Caenorhabditis elegans: one gene and its partners. The protein of the gene in region 1 purifies or fractionates together with the protein of each later gene. This does not show direct contact. Each region holds a gene or a part of one and is shown on either strand. Other genes may lie near its edges.

What was found.
Region 2: the proteins of C01H6.4 (region 1) and ttr-35 fractionate together in Caenorhabditis elegans (co-fractionation; one large-scale study listed by BioGRID). This does not show direct contact.
Region 3: the proteins of C01H6.4 (region 1) and syd-2 fractionate together in Caenorhabditis elegans (co-fractionation; one large-scale study listed by BioGRID). This does not show direct contact.

The regions. Positions count from the first base shown.
Region 1 is NC_003279.8:7,208,545-7,213,153, forward strand, and holds C01H6.4 (Flavin-containing monooxygenase), read left to right. Parts: upstream 1-1,726; 5' UTR 1,727-1,842; intron 1,843-2,045; 5' UTR 2,046-2,048; coding exon 2,049-2,129; intron 2,130-2,175; coding exon 2,176-2,267; intron 2,268-2,536; coding exon 2,537-2,711; intron 2,712-2,761; coding exon 2,762-2,998; intron 2,999-3,082; coding exon 3,083-3,244; intron 3,245-3,371; coding exon 3,372-3,483; intron 3,484-3,537; coding exon 3,538-3,896; 3' UTR 3,897-3,978; downstream 3,979-4,609. Other genes in the region: C01H6.3 (C2H2-type domain-containing protein), read right to left, coding at 296-376, 846-963, 1,017-1,142.
Region 2 is NC_003284.9:6,510,419-6,513,526, forward strand, and holds ttr-35 (Transthyretin-like family protein), read left to right. Parts: upstream 1-1,866; 5' UTR 1,867-1,868; coding exon 1,869-1,958; intron 1,959-2,003; coding exon 2,004-2,213; intron 2,214-2,256; coding exon 2,257-2,394; 3' UTR 2,395-2,500; downstream 2,501-3,108. Other genes in the region: ttr-36 (Transthyretin-like family protein), read left to right, coding at 519-663, 717-853, 896-994, 1,700-1,738.
Region 3 is NC_003284.9:10,549,202-10,556,929, reverse strand, and holds the start of syd-2 (Liprin-alpha), read left to right. Parts: upstream 1-1,690; 5' UTR 1,691-1,765; intron 1,766-1,989; 5' UTR 1,990-1,993; coding exon 1,994-2,107; intron 2,108-2,156; coding exon 2,157-2,486; intron 2,487-2,557; coding exon 2,558-2,653; intron 2,654-2,702; coding exon 2,703-2,834; intron 2,835-2,927; coding exon 2,928-3,061; intron 3,062-3,299; coding exon 3,300-3,393; intron 3,394-3,486; coding exon 3,487-3,603; intron 3,604-3,652; coding exon 3,653-3,826; intron 3,827-3,871; coding exon 3,872-4,009; intron 4,010-4,059; coding exon 4,060-4,286; intron 4,287-4,329; coding exon 4,330-4,495; intron 4,496-4,586; coding exon 4,587-4,891; intron 4,892-4,985; coding exon 4,986-5,139; intron 5,140-5,218; coding exon 5,219-5,341; intron 5,342-5,399; coding exon 5,400-5,560; intron 5,561-5,604; coding exon 5,605-5,923; intron 5,924-6,294; coding exon 6,295-6,616; intron 6,617-6,668; coding exon 6,669-6,853; intron 6,854-6,965; and 4 more. UniProt on the Caenorhabditis elegans protein: May play a role in regulating the structure of the neuronal region, called the active zone, from which synaptic vesicles send neurotransmitter signals across the synapse. This may be in association with the liprin-beta protein hlb-1.

The DNA of each region.
Region 1 (4,609 bases):
TTAACGTTTTTCTCAAATTTCATTTGGACTTTGCTAGAAATTTTTTGAGCAGACTTTTTTTTTCGATGATTTTCAGTAAACCGAAATTGATTTTAGGGACTCGAGTTGATCTTTTGATTATTCTCATCTTGAAAGTATGTCTTCACACTTTGTTACAGTTGCACAATATTTATCAAGTGCTACATGTCATTCTTTCTTTTTGGTCCATCTCTTTCTCATTTCTTCATTTTTTTTTTCCAATTTCCTCATCGTTGCTCTTCATTTTTCCCTTCGTTTTCTCAATTTTCAAACTCACCTCCATAACACTTTTCCTTGTGCTCTTCGATGACTTGGTCGTCGTATTGCTCTCCGCAAACAAAACAAATTCGAAGTCCGTCTGAAGAAAATAAGAATGAAGGTTATTTACGAACAGGGGCACTTCTAAATTGAGGTGAGATGATGGGTGACTGCGTTGAAAAATGAGAAACGGAAATTGAAGAGAAGGGAGTGAACAGGAACAGAGAGTGTCGAGTTTTTATAGTTTAATGCTCACAAGTTTAGTTTCAAATAATTAGAAATCGAAATTTATCGTTGTTTTTATATTTTCTAACAAAAGTTTCTACACTGTAACTTGTTTTTAAAAATATATTATCGGCCATACGTTTCCTTTCGAAAAAAACGTTTGTAGTTTCAAAATCTTTTTTTTTTTTTTAATTTTTTCAATTGAACTTTCACTGTATTTTAGACTTTTAAGTCATATTGATTATACACTGGTTTCAGATTTTTTGGGTTGAATAAAAATTCTTTCACGAAATGTATAACCGAATAATTGTATTGCACGCAATAGTAATAAACTGAAAACTTACTATTTTCATGATTATATCTTGATAATGATCGTGTTCGAGGTCTCTCCGTAGTTGTCATTTCCGCGGGTCGAATTTTTTTTCGTCTACCAGACTTTGATCTACCTCTTTTTTGATTATTCTGAAATCAAAAACAAGTTCTCTGAAGGAAATTAATTAACTGAAAAACTCCACCTGCATTTTAAGCTTTTCTTGCTCTAAGATTTTGTGCATTGACTCAATACAATTCTTCTCATGAATAAGCAACGAATGTTTTGAATATAGACGTTGACAGTGTGGGCATTCTAGGAATGTAGGCATGGTTTGACCAGGCAAAAATGAAATGAAAAGTCAAAAAAGGGTGTAAAAAGAAGAGTCTAATTTTCCATGAATTTTCGAGTGAATGAGAGAAGAAAAGGATGTTCAATGGGGGAAACGCGTAAGAGAGTGTGAGGGTTAGACACAGAAGGCGTTGACTCCGTTGAGCCAAGCCACTTCAATGAAGCTGTTACTATGAGAATAGGGAAGTTAGAAAAGATTGAGAGACATAGACAAAATGTGTGATATGAGATTAGAGTGAAGAAAGAATAAGTAATTAGAATAGAAACTGCATACGTCAGATATTGGTTAAACATTGAAGTTTTCAATTGATCAACTGGAATTTAGAAATTCATATTCTCAGAAAACTTTGCAAAACATATAATTTTTAGTCATTCGTGATGATGATGTTCAAAGATCACGGTAAAAGTGCAAACATGAGTTTGGGAATCGTTTTGAAAACAAGTAAAGTCATAAAATATGACAATGTCGTATTATATTACTCGAATAGACCTTTTGAAAATATCACAAAAGATTTTTATGACTTCCAGAGTTTCTGAAAAAATGCGAAATTTAGATAACGTCTAAATTGCCAGTTTTAACTGGTTTCACTAACTTGAACACCTATTCATTAAAAAATTTTCTAAATATTCAAACCAAATATTGAGTTGCCATTTTACCAACTATCCATTTATGCAATGAGGTAATTTTGGTTAATTTCGAAAATTCTCAAAGTTTCAATTTTTGTAGTTACTTTGCAATTAATTTATTTTTATAGCTTTCCCCTTTTTCTCTGATTACTTGTCTGTATTTTGTCATCCACGACAGATCATACTGATAAGCAATCAGCCATTTCATCACTCACTTCTTTTTATTCTATACCTTTCTTATTTTCCTTTTTCATAGAAAATGCACAAGAAAATATGTATTATTGGTGCTGGAGCAGCGGGATTAGTATCTGCAAAACATGCTATTAAACAAGGTTATCAGGTTAGAACTTTTTGGAACATAATCTGTGAATTATAAATTAATTTAGGTTGATATATTTGAGCAAACTGATCAAGTTGGAGGAACATGGGTTTATTCAGAAAAGACTGGGTGTCATTCAAGTTTATATAAAGTTATGAAGTATGTGGTTTGGGATTATTTTCATTCTTGGTGATTTTCTCACTTTAGACAGACTGTTTAAAATAAACAAAAAATTTTTGTCTCAAAAATATCACAAAAACAAGAAAATTTTCCTATAGTTGATTAATTAGTAACAACCGAAAACAGAAAAAAGACAAATTCCAACAGTATATCAGTATATCAACAAAATATGATAAAAATTCTAAAAAGGGAAAAGAATATGTTAGAAGTCATGTTTATAAAATTTTAAAAATGTTTGAAAAATTCAGAACGAATCTACCAAAAGAAGCCATGTTGTTCCAGGATGAACCATTTCGAGATGAACTCCCATCTTTCATGAGCCACGAGCATGTACTTGAGTATTTGAATGAGTTTTCTAAAGATTTTCCAATTCAATTCTCATCCACCGTAAACGAAGTAAAGCGTGAAAATGATTTGTGGAAGGTGAATAATAAAACTACAATTAAATTCTTCATAGAATTATGAGTTTTCAGGTGTTAATCGAATCAAACTCCGAAACTATCACTCGTTTTTACGATGTCGTTTTCGTGTGCAATGGACATTTCTTTGAACCATTAAATCCATATCAGAACTCATATTTCAAAGGAAAACTTATTCATAGTCATGACTATAGAAGAGCAGAACATTATACTGGAAAGAATGTGGTCATTGTGGGTGCAGGACCATCTGGAATTGACATCACACTACAAATTGCTCAAACTGCAAATCATGTAAATCTCGAAAACTTTGAAAATTCTGAAGTTTTTCTAAAAATACAGACTTCAATTTTTAAACCCCATAATAACTGTTTGCAGGTAACACTAATAAGCAAAAAGGCGACATATCCGGTGCTTCCAGAATCAGTTCAACAAATGGCAACCAACGTAAAAAGCGTGGATGAACATGGCGTAGTTACTGATGAAGGAGATCATGTTCCTGCTGATGTCATAATTGTTTGCACCGGATATGTTTTCAAGGTAAAAATGTTTAAACCGGCGTAAGAAAATAGTTAACCTGGTGTGCATTATGAAAATATTTCAGATAATCATTAGAAATTTTATAAATTGTTCTCTTTTTTTCTGGGAGAACTCGTGATACTTTCAGTTTCCATTTCTGGACTCTTCACTAATTCAATTGAAATATAATGATCGTATGGTATCTCCACTTTATGAACATCTTTGCCATGTTGATTATCCAACAACACTATTCTTCATTGGTAAGTAAATTGGGAAATCGTATCTTTTCATTCATAGTTCACATGTTATTGCAGGCCTTCCTCTCGGAACAATTACCTTTCCGTTGTTCGAAGTGCAAGTTAAATACGCGCTCTCACTGATCGCCGGAAAGGGAAAACTGCCGTCGGATGATGTTGAGATTCGGAATTTTGAAGATGCACGTCTTCAAGGTCTTCTGAATCCCGCATCATTTCATGTTATAATAGAAGAACAATGGGAGTATATGAAAAAATTGGCAAAAATGGGAGGATTTGAAGAATGGAATTATATGGAAACAATTAAAAAGTTATATGGCTATATTATGACTGAGAGGAAGAAAAATGTGATTGGATACAAAATGGTTAATTTTGAATTGACAACGGATTCATCGGATTTCAAAGTTGTTGATATATAGTTAATATGCTTTGAAATTGTTGTTTAGACTTGAATTAATTTTTTATTATTTTTAAAATCAAAATTATGCAGGATTGGGAAAGTATTTGATTTCTTGAAGCTTCTCACAATCAGAGTGGACTTTAACGACGATGTAGCATGGATAATTAGATTCGCATATCCTATTTAGGTGAATTGGAGAATTCATATAGTTTTTTAAGAAACTATTTGAGGCGACGTTTTTGAGCCCATTGTTGGGAAGATAAATGAAACAGTGTTTATATTATTTTGTTTTTCGCGCTCACAGAATCTTAGATATGAAAATTTATGAGATTTTTTGTTATTTTTTAAATAGCGTTTTTTTAAAAATTTGTTCTTATAGGGCTGTTATGGGGGATGTCCCTTCTTGTTCCTCTCAACGTTCGGAAGCTGATTCCGGCGTCCCTCTAGCCGGAAACTGAAGCACCAAAACTGAATCGGAGTAATAGTAAAACCTTCAATCGATTCTCGATGTCAGAACTCATTTTCCAATAACGGTATAAAAATCAGGGGGCGCCCCATGACAACCCTAATTACGATAAACGGTAGCTGAACAATATTTCAGAAGTTTCAAATTAAATTTTAGATTTTTCTCTGATTCACGTTCAATCAAACACATGTTCTCATGAATATTAATAATTTCGAACTTTTATATTTTTCTTCAATGTGTGCTTTTGTGTAGATGATGGTCGTAAC
Region 2 (3,108 bases), on another chromosome or scaffold:
ATTTGGAAAATCGTTTTTATTTTATCATTACTTCTTGTATATATTGTGTGTTTATCTAACATTATCCCGTTTATTTAAATGCTTTTTGTGAATTGATTGATCAGCCACAAAAGATTTTTTAACCATTTCAGTAATTTATCAAAAAAACAAACATGTTGGGGTCTGTTGGGTCTCAAAACAATTAAAAATTTCAAAAACCAAAAAAAAACATTCGGTTTTGCACAGAGAAATTTGTACTTTTTACTCTATAATAGTTCATGATTTCTATACTCGGAAATGTGAGTTCAGACAAGTGACCCAAATCCATTTATCAAAATTTGAACAACACTGTCACTCAATTTTGATTTTATTGTGTTTGACTTAAATTTTCTCGGAACTGTCAACATTTCGTTATCTACTTCATTAACTCAACATTTCGTCTCTTTCAATAAATATTTTTTCTTGACAATTGATACCTTTTCTCGAAAACTAGATTATTTCCCAAAAATATGAAATTCAACTTTAAATTTCAGTAATAGATGATGAAGACTCTAGTTCTTACATTACTATTAATCGGTGGAGCATTTGCATTCCGTACTCAATCGACTGGAGTCAAAGGTAGACTCATGTGCGGAAGTAAACCAGCTGCTGGTGTGAACTTGAAACTTTTTGATGAAGATAATGGTTAGTGATCCTCGATTAATTGCAAGTTTGTGACGTACCAATTGAATTTCTAGGCCCAGACCCAGACGATGTATTGGATCAAAAAACAACCGATGACGATGGAAACTTTCTGTTGTCTGGGTCTTCAATGGAGCTGACACCAATTGATCCAGAACTAAGAATTTTCCATGACTGCAATGATCAAGGAAGCGTAGGTGCCAATTTGTAATATTAATTTTTAACCTTTTTTCAGCCTTGCCAACGAGAATGGGTTATCCGGATACCAGCAAAATACATTACTAATGGGCCAGAAGTGAAGGAAATCATGGATCTAGGAGTTTTAAATTTGGAGGTTGGTGATTGATTAAAAGTACTTTTGGTATTTATGGGTTTCGTCCCCCCCCCAAAGTGATTTCCATATTTTCTAATTGAGACGTGAACTTTTTCTTCATTCTCAGGCTTAGGGAAATTATTTTCTAAGCCTAAACATGAAAACAGTATTAAAATAAACATTCACGTGTGGATTAAAATTAAAAAGGTAGTGTTAAATAATTAAAAATCATTTTGGGGGGAACGAAACCGTGTACCGTACCTTTTTATTGTTTTGTGTTTTTATCAGGTTTTATAATAAGTTTTCGAAAAATTATTCGATATATAGGTGTGCGGCTCAACCTATATGTAAATCCTTGTATAGCCTATTTTATATTTACCGTATATCCTCTATTAGTAAGGCGTGCAAAACTAATTTTCGGACACCTAATTTGATGCAAAACTAATAGAGGTGCAAAACTAATAGAGAATATACGGTAATATAAATTTGACATGCTGATTTGAACGCTGCATAGTGTCGTCCGTGGGTATTTTGCTTTAAGTTGCATTGAGTTAAAGTGAAGGTGGGTCGGCAAAAAGAACCCCCTCACAATGTTTAGCAATATTATTAAAAAACAATGTTAATAATCATATTCAGTAATTGTTTTCAAGTTCAAATGAACGCAATGATTGAAAAGCTGGCAAATTTAATTTTCTAGTCAAAAATTATCAATCATATTTTTTTCAGATCGAATTGGACAACGAAAGTAGAAGCTGTGCTCACTAACTGAATAATGTTCAACTTTAACAAATAAATATGGTTCTTAAAATTGTTGTCATCTTTAATGTTTGGTTTCTGACCAACTTTTCTATCTTTTTTTTTTAATTTTCCTTATTAAAATTTGTATAATTCAGAGATGATTTCCAAACTTTTGATCCTTGGAACATGTGTTCTATCAGTTGTCTTGGCTGCATCGGAATCGCACTCTGGACGTCAAAACTACAGAGTGGGCTTTATCAGAAATTCAAATTATTTAGACAGTTTTTTTCAGGTGAAAGGCGCGTTTAGATGTGGCAATGTTCCAGTAAAAAATGTTCAAGTAAAGCTGATAGATGACGACTTTGGATCCGACCCTGATGATGATTTGGGTAGCGGCTATACAAACGCAAACGGAGAGTTCGAATTGAGTGGATCCACCACGGAACTCACAACTATTGATCCTCACCTGAAAATCTACCACGATTGTGATGACGGAATTAATGTAAGTTTCTAATTATTCATGCAACACAAAAACTTATTTTCAGCCATGCCAAAGACGTTGGAAGTTTGAATTGCCAAACAACTACATTTATTCGGACACTGACACACCGAAGACTTTTGATATTGGAATTTGGAATTTAGAAGGAATCCTTCCTGGAGAGAGCAGAGACTGCAATCATTAATTTTTAATTTGCCTTTTAAAAACTATTTGTATAAGTTAAATCATTCTAAAAAGCTATGTTTCGATTGAATTCGCATTATCAGTTTTGAAATGAAATTTTCTATTAATAGCGTCACACTTGATTAAAAAATTTGATCACATAAAATTTTAAGTCTAAAACTATATTTTTTAAAACTTTTATTCTCAAACTATTAAAAAAACGAACAATTTCTAGGTGCCAGGTAACAGGACTCTAAACAGCTCATGTGGCAAAAACACAAGCAAAATTATGATTACAAAAAAACATGTTAAAAACTTGAGGCACTGACCAGTTGGAACAAAAATTTGAAAATTTCTGGTTCATTTCTGGAGTTTTGGAATTTGCAATTTTTAATATTTAGTTTGCGAGCCGGTCGGTGCTAATGTAATTCTGCACAACTTTACTTGTAATGAAAACATATTTTGCCTAGATGAATAGAAAAAATTAGTTGATACTTGTATCTATCCGAATTGAGCTCAGCTTCCTTTGACCCGTAGTAGACCACAATATTTTAAAAGTTATCAGATAATCGGAGAGTTTATTGTTTTTGTGTTAAGTTGTTTGTAGTATGAAATTAATAGCAATATTTCATTTATAAGAAATCATACAAAAATATCGGTATTCTGAATTTAGATGTCAATGAGATTATTGTAATAGACGATATATTGAAAACGTCTTGTTATTTTCAGAATTTTG
Region 3 (7,728 bases), on another chromosome or scaffold:
CATCCATCTGTTGAAGGCAGGTGGTCCCCCTCTTTTACTTTCTCTCCGAATATTCATACTCTTTTTCTCCGGGTTTTCTCACTAGTTCCGACCTTGCTCGCACTCGTTCGTCCATGAAAGCATTGATGTTCGGTGACTTTGAAAACTTTATGCAAATCTCAGGAATGTTGGGGTTTTGAGGGGGACGCCAAACGGAACAAAATAGGAAAATCGTAGGGATAGGGGACGTGAAGGCACTTGTTATTTTCATTGCCACTTCCACAAATTGAACGCTTGTTCTTACTCTTGCCTTGTTAGATCCCTCGTCTTTTTTTTTCGATTTCTATCAATCTGTATAACGTTTTACTACTTTACTATTATACTATTTTACGTTCAGAAAATGACTCAGAAATGACGAGTTTATACAACAATCGTGTTGTTAAACTTTTTTCTGCTTCAGTGTTTTGTTCCCCTTTTTTATGCTACTATCACAGAAAACCAAAAAAAAAAACGGAGTTTTAGGAAAAAACATTAAAAGTCTAAAAGTTGGAATCGAAGAAGTGTTCTTGTTTGTCAGTCTTCATTGTCAGTCGATCTTTGAAATTTGAAATAAACTTCCCTGTAAAACCCAATTGAATATATTTTGAGCACTCGTTCTAAATAATTGCTGCATATACTTGGAAGTAGAAAACGTATTCAATTTACAAATGGTTAATATATCACTATGAGTTTAGTGAGAGTAACTTGACTTATATTTAAAATGTTTAGAAATTCTCCGGATGCCCTAATATTAAACGAGAGACTTGCCCAGCTTCGTTCAAGTTTAATTCAGGTTCATCGGTGTCTAAAAAGTTATTGTAAGAAAATTGAGTTAAATCTTTGTTATCATATTCATTGCAATAGGATATAATATAAGTTATCTAAGTTCTGGAATTTTTTCTATAGCCATACAATTTGGAAAGTTTCATACAGTTTCGAAACATTTTCTCACGTTCAACCGTACTATTTCAGGACGTTCAGAATTTTGCCATATCTGTCTCTCTAATATTCTCTTGTCATCTCTATTTCTCTATTATCTTTTATCCTTTACTCCTTTCTCTGTTTCTGTACTTCTCCGAATTGTCAATTCTATCTTGCACTCTCATGTAGGAACCAATTGACGAAGAAATAGCGGGAGGCAGTCAGGGAGGGGACGGAAGGGGGTTTTCTCCCGCGCGCGTAGCCAAACGGCCGATAGATGTGTGACCCTGTGTTCTCTGGCTCTGGCCTGTCTCATCTTTCGTTTGCACCCATTCTCTAATGCCCTAGCATCGATTCGGGCCCACGTCCGGCCACAACGAAGAGGACGAAAAGGAGAAAGAAGGGGGAAGAATACGAAGGGCGAGCACTACTGACCGTTGTGTGTAATTCGGAGCTCTTTCTCTTTATCGGCCTGTGTCTATTGTCTCTTTTTCTTTCCCTCTCTTTTTCCATCTTCTCAACTCTTTTGCTTGGCGAGTTGGTTGTTGCAGTCATATTACTTATAACACACACACAAGAGGAAGAAACGAAAAAAGTAGAGAGAAAGAGAGAGGAAAGAGAAATAAAAACACTTTCAACGGAACTAACTTACTTTTTAGTTCTTTCGTAGTTCTTTCTTAGTTTAGTGTCAACCGTTTTAATTATTTTGTCTTTCAGCTTCACAAAATTATTGCTATAAAAATTATTGTAGGTTATTCACTTTCTGCAAGGTATGACAAATTACTCAACAAGGGCAAGCTGATTCACTTCTTTACATTTTTTTCTGGTAAGTGTATTTTATTTTAAATTTGAAAATTGTATAGTCAACGTTCAGATATTTCTATTTCTAGGCGATGTATCCAATTTCTTCTGTTTCTTGCGTTTTTTCTCGCGCTTTTCTAAATATTTTTCTGCATATCTAGACGATTTCAAAATATAACTAAACATTTATTAATGTTTTGTTTTTGATTGAAAATCTGAAATTTAGTTATCAATTTTAATCTGTTTCAGAAATATGAGCTACAGCAATGGAAACATAAATTGTGATATAATGCCGACAATCTCGGAAGATGGAGTGGACAACGGCGGTCCCATTGATGAACCATCGGACCGAGACAACATTGAGCAGGTCTGTATATTGTAAAACCTTAAAACTGAATGTTCTTTAACTTTTTCAGCTGATGATGAACATGTTGGAAGACCGGGACAAATTACAAGAACAGTTGGAAAATTATAAGGTGCAACTGGAAAATGCAGGGCTCCGAACGAAAGAAGTTGAAAAAGAACGAGATATGATGAAGAGACAGTTCGAAGTTCATACGCAAAATTTACCGCAGGAACTTCAAACAATGACGCGGGAATTATGCCTATTAAAAGAGCAGTTATTAGAAAAAGATGAAGAGATTGTCGAGCTCAAAGCAGAACGGAACAATACTCGACTTCTTCTAGAGCACCTAGAATGTTTAGTTTCCCGTCATGAAAGATCACTCCGAATGACGGTCATGAAGGTATGTCTTTTGATTTATTATTGTTCCCCATTCTATTTGATGTGCTGTAATATTAAAACTTCCTTTTTCAGAGACAAGCTCAAAACCACGCTGGCGTATCTTCTGAAGTTGAAGTTCTAAAAGCTCTTAAGAGTTTATTCGAGCATCACAAGGCATTGGATGAAAAAGTAATTTTTTGTATTTACTCTGTAGATTTTCTAATGTTTTAATATTCAGGTTCGTGAACGTCTTCGAGTAGCAATGGAGCGTGTGGCGACACTTGAAGAAGAGCTGAGCACAAAAGGAGATGAGAATTCGTCGCTGAAAGCGCGTATTGCCACTTACGCAGCAGAAGCGGAAGAAGCAATGGTAATTATTCATTGAAAAAAATAAGAAAGAAAACAGAAAAACGAGAATACATCACATACCCACAAAAATGTGTTTATCAACAAAAATTTTCAGGCGTCAAATGCACCCATCAATGGTTCAATTAGCAGTGAAAGTGCAAACAGACTTATCGAAATGCAAGAGGCTTTAGAAAGAATGAAAACAGAATTAGCCAACTCACTAAAACAATCAACTGAGATCACAACAAGGTACTATCGTAATAACTTTTCAAAAATTGATGGTGAATATATAAACACCTATAAATTTTTGTGGTCAAATTTTTCGGTTTTTTTTCAAAAAAATGTTTGAAGAATGCGTAAAAATTAACTATAAAAATATATTAAATTACATTTAAAAAATTGTTTTCTTATCTCAATTCAGTAAAAAAAATAGGAAAAAATCATGCTGAAAAGCCTATGAATACTCCCCCAAATTTTTAAATTTTAGAAATGCCGAACTCGAGGATCAATTGACAGAAGATGCTCGTGAAAAACATGCTGCACAGGAATCAATCGTTCGTTTGAAGAATCAAATTTGCGAGGTACTTGTGAAATAATCAATTTGTATCGATATTGTTGCTTTTACCTCAAAATCATTCAATTCAAGCGTATTTACTTATTTTTCCTATGTTTAGCTTGATGCACAACGCACCGATCAAGAAACTCGGATAACAACGTTTGAGTCGCGTTTCCTGACCGCGCAAAGAGAGTCAACGTGTATCCGGGACCTCAATGACAAATTGGAGCATCAGGTCAGTAAAAGACATCGCAATTGCATTAGAAACCTCATTTTCTTTTCAGCTTGCCAATAAAGATGCGGCTGTCAGGTTGAATGAGGAAAAAGTTCATTCACTTCAAGAAAGATTGGAGTTGGCAGAGAAGCAACTTGCACAAAGTCTCAAAAAAGCTGAATCCCTTCCGTCTGTAGAAGCCGAATTACAACAAAGAATGGAAGCACTTACAGCAGCTGAACAGGTGTGTTTTTGTTGTTATGTTTGTTTAAAATGTTTTCCTTTTCAGAAGAGTGTTTCTGCTGAAGAGCGCATCCAAAGGTTGGACCGAAACATTCAAGAGTTGTCTGCAGAGTTGGAAAGGGCTGTGCAAAGAGAACGCATGAACGAAGAGCACAGCCAACGGTTAAGTAGCACTGTGGACAAGGTGAGCATTTTAAAATCATACACAAAAGTGTTAGCAAAACATTTTTCCAGCTTTTATCGGAATCTAATGATCGCCTTCAACTGCATCTCAAAGAACGAATGCAAGCCCTCGATGACAAAAATCGGTTAACACAACAGCTTGATGGAACAAAGAAAATTTATGATCAAGCGGAACGAATCAAAGATCGTCTTCAGCGGGATAATGAATCTCTACGGCAAGAGATTGAAGCTCTTAGGCAACAATTGTACAATGCAAGAACTGCGCAATTCCAGTCAAGGTACAACATAATATAATGCATGGTGAAACCGTAATTTTTTCAGAATGCATGCAATTCCGTTTACACATGCTCAAAACATTGTGCAGCAACAACCACAAGCTTCGATTGCTCAGCAATCTGCATACCAAATGTACAAACAACAACCAGCTCAACAGTATCAAACTGTAGGAATGAGAAGACCAAATAAAGGAAGGATTTCAGCACTCCAGGTGAGATTTGGTTTTGTGACATTTTGTTTCACCATGTTAAAATTGCTATTGGCTACAACAAAAAGAAACCAACCATTGAAAAAAATTTCAGGACGATCCGAACAAAGTTCAAACCCTCAACGAGCAAGAATGGGATCGACTTCAACAAGCGCATGTTCTTGCCAACGTCCAGCAAGCATTTTCCTCATCACCATCACTGGCCGACGTCGGTCAATCGACTCTTCCACGTCCTAACACTGCTGTCCAACACCAGCAAGATGATATGATGAACAGTGGAATGGGAATGCCAAGTGGAATGCAGGGAGGAATGCAAGGTGGAATGGGTGGTGGTCAAGATGCTCAGATGTTGGCATCAATGCTACAAGATCGCTTAGATGCAATAAATACTGAAATAAGGTGGGCTAATTATCGTTTTAAAATCTGATTCTATAATGTATTTTCTTAACTTTATTAATTTTTTATTAATTGTTTTTAACAAGTATATTTTAAGATTGATTCAACAAGAGAAACATCACGCAGAACGGGTGGCTGAACAGTTAGAACGATCAAGTCGGGAATTCTATGATGATCAGGGAATATCTACGAGAAGTTCACCAAGAGCAAGTCCCCAATTAGATAATATGCGACAACATAAGTATAACACTGTAAGTCTTCATTTGTTTGTTTTTTTAATACATTTTTTATATGTATTAAATGTTCTTCAAGAATTTTTCTAAATTATAGCTTCCTGCAAATGTATCCGGTGACCGACGGTATGATATTTACGGCAATCCGCAGTTTGTTGACGACCGCATGGTTAGAGATTTGGACTACGAGCCACGACGAGGGTACAACCAATTTGACGAGGTAAGAGTCATCTCAAGAAGGAAGAAGATGATTAATGACCGGTTCGTTTCTTTTGCAGATGCAATACGAAAGAGATCGAATGAGTCCAGCTTCGTCAGTCGCTTCCTCGACAGATGGCGTTCTTGGCGGAAAGAAGAAAAGATCGAATAGCTCAAGTGGATTGAAAACGCTTGGAAGGTTTTTCAACAAAAAGAAAAATTCATCGAGTGATTTATTCAAGTGATTATTTTATTGAGTTATGAAAACATACAATCATTTTTTAGACGAAATGGAGATTATTCGGATGGCGAGCAGTCGGGCACAGAAGGAAACCAAAAAGCTGATTACGACAGGAGGAAAAAGAAGAAGCATGAACTATTAGAGGAAGCCATGAAAGCACGAACACCGTTTGCTCTTTGGAATGGTCCAACTGTTGTTGCCTGGCTGGAGCTGTGGGTTGGCATGCCAGCGTGGTATGTAGCTGCGTGTAGAGCAAATGTGAAATCCGGTGCAATAATGTCAGCTTTGAGTGATCAAGAAATCCAGAAGGAGATTGGAATCTCAAACCCATTGCACAGGTTGAAATTGCGACTTGCAATTCAGGTACTGAGGCTTTAAAAATTTACTAACCGGCAGTAAGACGGCATTTTGTTTGTATGTTGCAAAAAATGAAAAAAAAACACCAAAATAAATTTATCTTGGTTCGAACCAGGTTCTTTCAACTTGAAAGTTCTCATGGCAAGATTCAGCAAAAATACAGCAACTCTGTAGCCAGGTATTTTTTGTTAAAAATTTGCAATATAAATTAATTGTAATGATCAGTCAATGTGTTCACAGATTCCTTTGATTTTTTCATTACATAAAAAATAATATCCTTAATGTTTTTCTGAAATTTTGAATAATGACAGTTAAACTTTCAAATTGAGCAAACAATTATATACAATACAAGATTATATGTATATGCTTTTTTTCAGGAAATGGTTTCTTTAACGTCACCATCTGCCCCACGAACTGCTCGTCTGACTCTTGCCTTCGGAGATATGAATCATGAATATATTGGAAACGACTGGCTTCCTTGTCTCGGTCTTGCGCAATACCGATCAGCGTTTATGGAATGTCTTCTTGACGCTCGAATGTTAGAACATCTTTCAAAACGTGACCTACGCACGCATCTGCGCATGGTAGACACATTCCATCGTACAAGTCTCCAATACGGAATTATGTGTCTCAAGAAAGTCAACTATGATAAGAAAGTGTTGGCGGATCGGCGAAAGGCGTGTGATAATATCAACACAGGTAATAATTATATTATCTTTACAACAATGCCTTTATGGGTAATACCTTGCAGACTTGCTAGTGTGGTCGAATGAACGAGTTCAGCGATGGGTGGAAGAAATCGGGCTAGGTGTATTTTCAAGAAATTTAGTGGATAGTGGAATACATGGTGCATTAATTGCACTGGATGAAACGTTTGACGCATCCGCTTTTGCATATGCACTCCAGATTGGATCTCAAGACGTTCCTAACAGACAAGTGAGTAGAAGTCATCATAATTCAAGAAACCTTTGGGAAAAATTGAAAATAATACTCAAATATCATTTTATTCCGCAAAAACAATTATTCATATAATCTTATACATTTTTAGCTACTGGAAAAGAAATTCATTGGCTTAGTCAACGATCACCGTCAACAATCCGATCCCCATCCGGTAATGCCATAGTCCGTCGATTAACACGTTTTCTTTTTAAACAATAATCAATTCTTACATTGTTCAATTTTTTGTGCTGCTCTCTTGCTCAACTAGATTTTCCTTGACATTTTGCAGTGCTCCTTTAACTCTTCCCGGTTGCTCAAAACATTTTTAATTCAGATATCTAAAACAACTTTAACCTTCAAAAAATCAGCATTTTCAGTCATAATTCACACTGTTAATTAACGTCTTTTCCACAATACTGGTATGATTTGGTGTGTTTGCTCTAACTTCAGTATTGTTTGATCTCATCGTTTAGTAATGTGCAAAATTTCAATTTTCAGAGAAGTGGAAGTTCTCGTAAGAATGATTCCATAGCAAAATCCTACGAGTTTCATTTATATACCTAGTTAGTTAGTTAAATTAAAATTTTTTCCGCTCCCTCTCACTCGTTCGTGTCTTTCCTGTCATTCGTGCTAGTCTAAACGACCTTATACCGCCTGCTTCTGTAATTTTTTATTGACGATTTCAGTTTTTCGGTATTTTAAGTTTTAATTATTCTCATTATCATATCCATATTTTTTCCATTCTCAAGTTTTTCCCTAAATATCTTTTTAGCACGTTTTTCTTCTGGTAAAAATCAAAAAGATAGAAAGAAAGTGCGCTAATATTCAATTTTTCTACAAAACCAAATACTTTTAACTTATTTCCTTGATTA